2 linked regions of the Solanum lycopersicum genome follow. The main gene of each other region encodes a partner of the protein of the gene in region 2 in a complex. Links are inferred from orthologs where the notes say so. Each region holds a gene or a part of one and is shown on either strand. Other genes may lie near its edges.

Region 1 (4,514 bases), on a different chromosome or scaffold from region 2:
TATGTGCAGTCAAAGACTAATAATTCTAAAGCATGAATAACAAATCAATGGAAAAAGAAATTAAGATAAAGTAAATAATAATTGTGTAATGTTGCCTCTTCAGGATAACACTCATTGATAGGGAGAAGTATCAAGTATGCCTTGAAGCCTCAATCACTACACTGAAGCGCCCACTAAGCGAGGCAAAGTGCTCAGCATGTTTTGTGCGTCGCTTCAGGTCTTAACATGCTTCAGGCGAGCCTTTGACAACACTGAATGAAACTACAGATACATGCCACATAAATAACATGAGCCAAGTTGATTTCTGGTTAGGCTTGGCTTTACTTATTCAATAAGCCCTATTCTCAACTTGGCTTTCCATAACAAATGAAACTCTATATCTTTACCTTGGCATTTTGGATGGTTTCTCAAGCCAAAAGAACTACTGGCATGACTCACTCAGTTTATTTTCAGCCCTTAAGAAGCTATATTATGAAATTTGAAAAAATTGCCAAAACAGTTCTCACCGATCCATCACAACTGGGACATTCTTTAGATGGCAGTGGCAAGTGAAGGTCCACTGTGGAAGGAAGATGCACCAACTCAGCTCTGTTATCAGCTATCGCATCAGCAATGGATTCAGCTGTGGCTTTTTCTCCCCTGTATCAGTAATTTGGAAGCTTTAAATAGACATAAATATTCAGTGTGTTTGACATTATCTTCATGTCCCTAGAATAATTTATGATTTTTCAGAACTATGATGATTAATAACATAAAACAAGAAGAAGGTGGCTCAGTACACCAACATGATGATGGTGATGTTTTGAGCTACCAACAGCAATTACACGAGCCACTTTGATTGCCGAATCTGAATTAAGAAACCTGAAGACTAGAATGTGTTTTAACAGTCACATGGGACGTGGGAGAAGAAGAAGGTGAAAGCACTTCAGTATATCTTTTAAGAGTATGCAGTTCAGAATATGACAAAAACCATAATGTTGTTCTAGAAATTGGATTAATACATAAAATGTGAACAGGATGTTCATTTTAACAGCAAGAGTACAAGTTTATCAATGATTACCTACCTTTTCAATGTGTAGTTCTTCACTTGGTAATGCACTTTGCCTGATCCTTTGCACATTGTGCACTGCAACGCCTGCCACCCACAGCATGTCCGGCAGTCCCTGCAGTCAATGAACCAAGCATCTTCTTTCAATTACACATGTCATCACCTTACATATCAAGACATGCCAGTTGACTATAAATTTGACAAGCATTTCAGCTTCCCTTCAGTAAGCACAAATAAGATGCTCTCTCACTTTAACTTCAATTTGTGATTACCACATCAGCTTGTGCATAAGGACATCGAGACCACCAATGAGCACAGAAGACAAATATCTGATATCTATAAGACAAATATCTGATATCTATCGAGCTCATAGTCCATTTAAAGTAAAATATGGATTGAAAAACCAAACCTATGAAAGAATGTGAGCATTCAAACCTATTCCTTAAGGTAATGGATGGAGTTGCCTGATACCTTTAATCTTCGATGCCCTTTTACACACGATGTGCATATCAGCAAAAAAACAAAACTTTTGACATGGACCATTTATCAATTTCATTATTTCTAATATAAGACACTTCAACTTCAGGAATATAAATTCTAACAAAAGTAAACATGAGCTAAGACTATAAGGGCACCTCTGGCTGATCACCTTCTTTCCGAGCTCCATTGCAATGTCATAAGTACCCAGAGTAGCTACCACCTGCAGTAAAACACCAAATATCTCTGTTAGGAGAAACCTTCACTGAACAAATACTTTCAGCCTAAAAGTCGTTGTATTAATCTCCGGTCATCACCTCTCTTACATATTACTTGAAGACTCAATCCAGGGAATGCTGAAAAAAACTTCCTATTCATGGGATCCTAGTGATATATGAACAAACATTCAAAGACACAGTCGAGGCATTCCAGTGAAACATGAACATATATTGAATACCCAGTTCAGAAATTCTAACAACTAGACTGTTCCATTCATGGTCTCTCAGTGACATATGAACAAACATATAAAGACCCAAATCAGGAAGAAATGCAGACAACAATGCTTCTCAAGTTATGGACGAGAAAGTGTGGTGAGCTTCCAGTGATTTATGAACAACTAAATTAAAGCCCAGTTCATAAGACACTGACCATTGGTTCCCCCATTCAAGGCCTTTCAGTGAAACATGAACATATATTGGAAGACCCAATTCAGAAATTTAACAACTAGACTGTCCCATTCATGGTCTCTTAGTGACATATGAACAAAGACCAAATCCAGGAAGAGATGCAGACAATTATGCTTCTCCAGCAATGGACAATAAAGTCCGGTGAGCTTACAGTGACATTTACACTCATATTCATAAAACACCGGCAAACCGATCCCCCATTCGAAGCCTTTTCAGTGACACGTGAACATACATTTGAAGACCCAATTCAAAAATACTAACAAATAGACTGTCACATTCCTGGTCTCTCAGTAACATATAAACAAACACTTAACGAATCCAGTTCATAAAACACTGAAAACTACCTTCCCCGTTCAAGGCCTTTTCAGTGAAACACAAACATAAATTTAAACACCCAGTTCAGAAATTCTATCAAACATACTATCCCATTCACATCCTCTCAGTGACATATAAACAAACACTTAACGACCATTAAGTAAAAAAAAAAAAAAACAGAAAGTAACACTTCCCCAATTACATACAAGAAAGTGCGGTGAACTTACAAAGATGGTCGAATAAGAGAGCTTAGAGATGAATTCAGGTACACCGAAACCTCTCGGAGCAGAGCCGGCAATGTCATATGCAAGTGTAATAGGTGAAAGAACAAGCTTTATTGGAAATTCGAAAATGTCAATGAGTTGCTGTCCATAGCGGCTACTGAAGTACTTGTATTGAAGGTCAGTGAATTGCTTCAAATTCTTCAGTAAGCGATCAGTGCCTCGAGACATTGCTCAAACATTCAACTAGTTGAAGAAGAAGAAGAAGATGGAAAAAAGGATAAAGAGGGAGATAGGCGTATTTCAAGCTCAGTTGTGTAGGGATAGGATTTGGGAGTACCATTTTTTATTTTCTACTAATTTTTTTTTAAAATGAAAACGGAAATCCGCAATAGCTATTTTTGAATTTCGTATAGTGTAAAAAATTCTATTTTTATGCAATAGCTCATAAATCATTCGCGAATCACATATGAGAGTTGCCTAGTGCGACGGCAAATCTGTTGCTTTCACTGACAAAGAGTTTCGAACTTCGAAGAATTTATTGTATTATTAAGCGATGAAAATAACTTTTTGAAAAAATATGAGGTAGAAATATTTATATATAGTTTCATATGGAACATTTTTATGAATACAATTTCACTATAAAGTTTTAATAAAAATAGTTCTCACTTCAAAATATTTTGCAATTTTTATTTTAATTTTTAAGATGAATTACTTGATCGATGAATAACTTTAATACTACAGAATTTAAAAATATTTATGATTAACAACATGAGTCAATCGATACGTAATAAACTCATATCTTAAATTAATGTAACTAACATTTATTTTATAATAAGGTTATACATAAGACCAAATATTGCATAAACTATAAGAAAGCATAAATATCAAAGATTCTAGAAATTCGAGTGAATTAATTTATTTTTCGATTCTTTAATTAATCGAAAATTCAATTCTTCGATTCGATATTCAATGTGAGGATCAATATTCTTCGATGCAACGAATAGTCAAATTGTTTATTAAATATATTTAAAAATAATATTTATATTACATTTAATTACATATTTTGACCCAAAACATTTTTAATTTTGAAACTCAACCCATTTAAGAAGATTGGGAAAATATATAAATTGGTGTATTTTAATAAATAATTACTGGTTTTAACAATACTTTTTACTTATTACTATTTATAGTAACATTATGTTAAATATGCAATATGAATTAAAAGTGAATTATGTATGCAATATATATGAATTATAATTGTTTTTGAAATATATTATGCTTGTTTGATAAAAATTTGAGACATGGTTTTATAAATGTATTAAAACGTGTGATAAATGTATTATCCATCATTAAAATTTATATTATATGTAAATAATAAATTGTTCTTTGTAATATGTATTAAACTTTTATTATAAATGAATTAAAACTGATCTAATGAAAAAAAAATACTCCCTCTCTTCCTATTTAGCTGTCCACTTTAGAAAAAGACCCACATATTAAAATAACAATAATTAATATGGTGAAGTTATAATTTTACCCTTCTATAAACTGTAATTTTAAGAATTAAAATGTATAAATTTATAATTTTAACTTTAATTATAAGATAATTTAAAATATTTTATTTTAATTTTTTTATTCTTTCTTGACTTGTCAAAATGGACAAGTAAATAGAAATTTAAAAAAGAAAATATGGACATAAAAATATATTATGACTATAAATAATAAATATTTTTTTTATTATAATATATTTATTAAAGAGATTTA
Region 2 (4,299 bases):
AATAACCCTTAAAGTATTGGAAATCCATTTATTGGTTCCAAAATATCTTCTCGCCCATTTATTGGATTTAAAATACCCATGTCATTTACATTTTGGTTTAAAATTGACAATTTATGTAATGATTTTATATTTAAATTATTTAAATATTTTTTTTAAATACATGATGTTCAACTATTTGTTATAATTTAACTTATTAGTATAATTTATAAAACAACAGAAAAGCTACAACCAATGAAAAGCTACAACCAATTGAGTGTTTTTAGAATTTTGAGGTGAAAATATCTATAGTACTAAATTATCATATATTTAAGTGTCTAAATAAAAATTTACCGATAAAAAGTCTGACTATGTTCATCTTAATTATTCTTACGTCTCAATTATGTGATGTTACTTCATCGGTAACTTTTTTCTCAAAATAATATATTAAATGTTTTAAAACAAATCATAAATATTTATAAAATTATATTTTAAAAAAGTGCATGAATTATTTCGGGATGTATTACTTCTTTATTTTTAATCATAAATTTCTAATTCAATCTTGAAAGAGAATCGTATTGAAAGTCTCATCCTAAATAAGTGGCTCAACCTAAATTTAATTGGGGCTTAAATTCGGACTCGAATAATTTCGGATGTTATTTTTCAGAAATCTATATTTTCATCGTGTTTTAGTAGTGTTTATGAAGATTTTGATATTATAATTGGATTATTAGTTGGGTGGGGTTTAGTTAGCAATGAATGGGTAGTGTGTTGATTTATAAATTAAATTATAACCAATAATTGAACGTCAAGGATCTTAAAAAATATTTAAAGAGTTTAATTTTAAAACAATTAAATAAGTGGTCAATTTTGAACAAAAAAGTGTATAGGTATGAGAAGAGCATTTTGGAGCCAATAGGTAAATGAAGGGTAATTTTGTACCATTTTCAATACTTCAATGGTATTTTAGGCCATTTTTCGTAGATAAAATATGATAAGTTATGTATAAATTTTATAAAATGACAACTATTGTTGTTCAGCTATTTATAGAAAGAAATGACGTATAAAATGAGACGGAGGGAATAATATTTTGATAAAATTAAAAAGTGTTACTTATTATATGACAAAATAATAATAAAGTGTTACTTATTATATGACAAATAATAAATAAACGTAGAAGTTAAAATTTATAAAATTCATGATTTTAACTTGTAATTGGAACTGCTTTTAGCCGTAAGGAAAAAAAAAAGGTTTAAGAAAATCAAAGCCTGCAGATAAACCTCTATATAAAAAAAATTAACAAAACCCCAAAGCCCCATTCGGTTTTTCCGACGACCAAGACCGGCGACAATTCAGTTTTTCCGACGAGCAAGAGAGCCGAAACCGAAGCATTATCTTCGTATTCTCTAAGCTTCTCAATGCATCTAACCACTACTCCTCCTCCTCAACAGCTGAATTCAATACAATTATCTTCAAAACCCCTTTTACTCACATTGCCATTCAAATGCAGAAGGAAGTTTTCCCGTATAAGAAGACCTACCATTGTAGCTTCTTCTTCCAATACTAATAACAGTCCTGAAGGGTTTTCTTGGCTGCAACTTTCACAGTCCATTCGCCGTGGTTCCGAACGTTTCTTGAATCAATTGGAAGACTCTGTGAAGCAAGAGACGGGTTTTGATTTTAAGGATGTTAAAGTTAAAGTTGGGGAATTTTCAGGTCGAGCTGTTGATTCAGCCAAGAATGGCCAAGTTTTGCTGCAACGTTTTCAGTCTGAGTTGTTTCCTGAGTTCTTGAATTGGAACAAATTCGAGTCCTGGAAGGTGAATTTTCCCATTTCTTATTTGAGTTATTTGTATAACTTTGTGCTCACATTATCCTTTTTCCCCTTCCCCCAGGACGTCAAGAAATGGGATTCCAAAAGAGTTGGTGTATTCATTCTCTATATTATAGTTACGGTATGTTCTTGTCAAAAAATATATATGGCAATTCGAGCTCCTATTATTAATAGGGAAAGAAAAGAACTTACTGAGGCATACATGGAAGCATTGATTCCTGAACCTACTCCTGTTAATGTCAAAAGGTAAAACACAAATCAAACTGCTAACTGTTTTTATTTTTATTTTATGAATACTTGATACTCGGAGATTGATATGATGTCATTTTTTGATCAGTTTGAGGTGCATCTTGAATTGTCTACCTTTTCTTTTGATGATAAAGGTTTTTATTAATAAAAAACGAATAAAAAACTAAACCAGTTCCAAGGAAGTATTTGAGAAACATAAGATAGGAAACAGATTATGGCTGCAATGTCTTTGGAAATTCTTAAGTCACTTCGTAAGCATCCTTTAGTTTACCTAAAAAACTTGTAGGAATACTTATACCTATGAATGGTTTCAGCTTTTCTTTCAATACACCTACCATTTCATTTTTACATAACATCCACATGATACAAGCCGGGATAGTGTCTCGAATCTCCTTTGCTCCTTTCAGAGTCCTTACAGAAACAATCATGACCCCACTAATCCCCAGTGCACTGTACTTCCGACCTTTTCCAAAGTTTTTATATCTTGTGATGGATTGGGGGAATTTAAGAGGAGCAGTCTTTTCATATGACAAGACTTTTCCAAAGCACGTCCCATGATGGAGACAAATGATTCTCTGATATTTTAAGGATTTGATCAGACTCTTACTTGACCATTGAACTTTTCTTAGCTGGGGTAAAAGCTCAATATTTCTAGATTTTAGTTTGATCTGCACCATTATCCTAAAATCAAATCAATGCAGTTTTATGAGTAGGAGGAAACATTTACCCATGCCACCTTATGCAAGTATGTCTTGTTGCTTGATCCAATTAGTGATCTAAGATGTTTTGTAATCTCTCAACTCCTTTCTTGGACATGTATTCTTATAGATTCAAGAAAGGTTTGTGGAGGAAGACGACCCCCAAAGGTCTAAAGTTAAAGAAGTTCATTGAAGCAGCAGATGGAACTCTTATTCATGACAGTTCCTATGTTGGTGAAGATGCTTGGGCAGATGATTCTGGCAGTCATAATATGAAAGAGGTGATAGACCATGATAGTAGATTGAGAGTAGAGGATAAAGAGACTCTGAAAGAGAATCTTGGAATTTCAGGTGAGTTTTGTTATTAACCTTGCATTATTTTTAAGTACGTAACGATCCTCCTCCATCATTTTTCCTTCATTCTAAAAAAAAAAAAGACGCATGAGAATTTTATAGTAGTATCTTATCATCTTCGAATTTATTTTTATTTTAAAATGAATAAGCTGCACTCTGCAAGCTCATTTTTTATATTTTCTTGCTCCCCCTAGTAATGGTAAAACTTTTGAACGGGTGGACTTCTCCCCTTTTTTGGTTTGGGTGAAGGGGAGGGAGGATGTATATTTACCAGTATTCTAAAAGGTGAGTGAAATTGGTCGCTGTCCCATGTTTTTTCATAAGCAGGTTGAAAAGTTACTGCAAAGTCATGATACAAGTAGATGTGATGCCGTGTATCAGTTTGAGGGCATTTTGTTTTTCTGGTTTTCTAATAGCAGCTGGACAAAAGAACGCTCTTTGTTGTCACCGTTTAAGAAAACACGAGTTAGAAATTTTAAACTTCTATATATTAAATATGAAAACTATATTAAAAGTTAAAATTTTATTATATAGACTATCACATAAATAATTCAATAAGTTTACACTAACAAAATAATTTCATATATTATGTTAATGATAAGTTCCTTTCTGCTGCCTATTCCACTTTTATAGTTCTTGCATCCACTGGATGCTTTGTTATTAATAGTTTATTACAACTCTTACTTCATAAAAAAAATGATATATTACGTTAATTTTTTAAAAATGAATTTTGTTAAAAGTAAAAAATTAACAATTTTTTTACATAATTTACTTGCATCCACTGCAAAAAAATGAATTTTGTTAAATTATGTAAAAGAAAATCATTTTAAGTTGCCAAGTGAATCCAAATTATGTTAGTAGTCTATTTAAGCATTTCTTATCCTTTTTCTTTTTGCAGCTGAAAATCAGGATACGGGAGGAACATGGCGTGCAAGACTTCAAGAATGGCACAAAATTCTTAGGAAGGAGAAGATGGCAGAACAATTAGATTCAGTAAATGCGAGGTATGTGGTTGAATTTGACATGAAGGAAGTTGAGAACAGCCTTCGCAAAGATGTTGTTGAGAAGACAAGAGAAACTCAAGGAACCAGGGCATTGTGGATCTCGAAAAGATGGTGGAGATATCGCCCGAAACTTCCCTATACCTATTTTCTTCAAAAACTTGATACTTCTGAGGTAAATGTTTAT

What was found.
Region 1: the proteins of ATP-dependent zinc metalloprotease FTSH 12, chloroplastic (region 2) and uncharacterized protein are in contact, whole or in part, in a cryo-EM structure (PDB 8XKU), measured with the Arabidopsis thaliana proteins. The link is inferred for Solanum lycopersicum from reciprocal best matches to the Arabidopsis thaliana genes FTSH12 and emb2737. Residues at the interface, in NP_565212.1 of Arabidopsis thaliana: Lys126, Asn127, Pro131, Ile134, Asn137, Lys138, Trp139, Trp142, Leu156, Ala160, Phe161, Leu163, Leu164, Cys167, Gln168, Tyr171, Met323, Glu327, Leu330, Val334, Ile335, Glu381, Asp382, Leu383, Leu404, Pro406, Tyr407, Phe409, Glu410, Cys413; in NP_001032071.1 of Arabidopsis thaliana: Thr82, Ile85, Ala86, Leu89, Lys92, Ser160, Ala161, Pro162, Leu163, Pro164, Ser165, Lys166, Ile195, Met196, Glu197, Pro198, Pro199, Ala202, Val205, Leu206, Met209, Tyr211, Pro212, His215, Ser224, Ile225, Phe228, Thr232, Leu233, Ile236.

Annotation. Positions count from the first base shown.
Region 1 is NC_090811.1:5,240,444-5,244,957, reverse strand, and holds the start of uncharacterized protein, read right to left. Parts: upstream 3,084-4,514; 5' UTR 2,979-3,083; coding exon 2,754-2,978; intron 1,749-2,753; coding exon 1,684-1,748; intron 1,164-1,683; coding exon 1,065-1,163; intron 640-1,064; coding exon 507-639; intron 1-506.
Region 2 is NC_090801.1:59,801,793-59,806,091, forward strand, and holds the start of ATP-dependent zinc metalloprotease FTSH 12, chloroplastic, read left to right. Parts: upstream 1-1,193; 5' UTR 1,194-1,394; coding exon 1,395-1,796; intron 1,797-1,871; coding exon 1,872-2,056; intron 2,057-2,887; coding exon 2,888-3,108; intron 3,109-4,009; coding exon 4,010-4,287; intron 4,288-4,299. UniProt on the Arabidopsis thaliana protein: Probable ATP-dependent zinc metallopeptidase.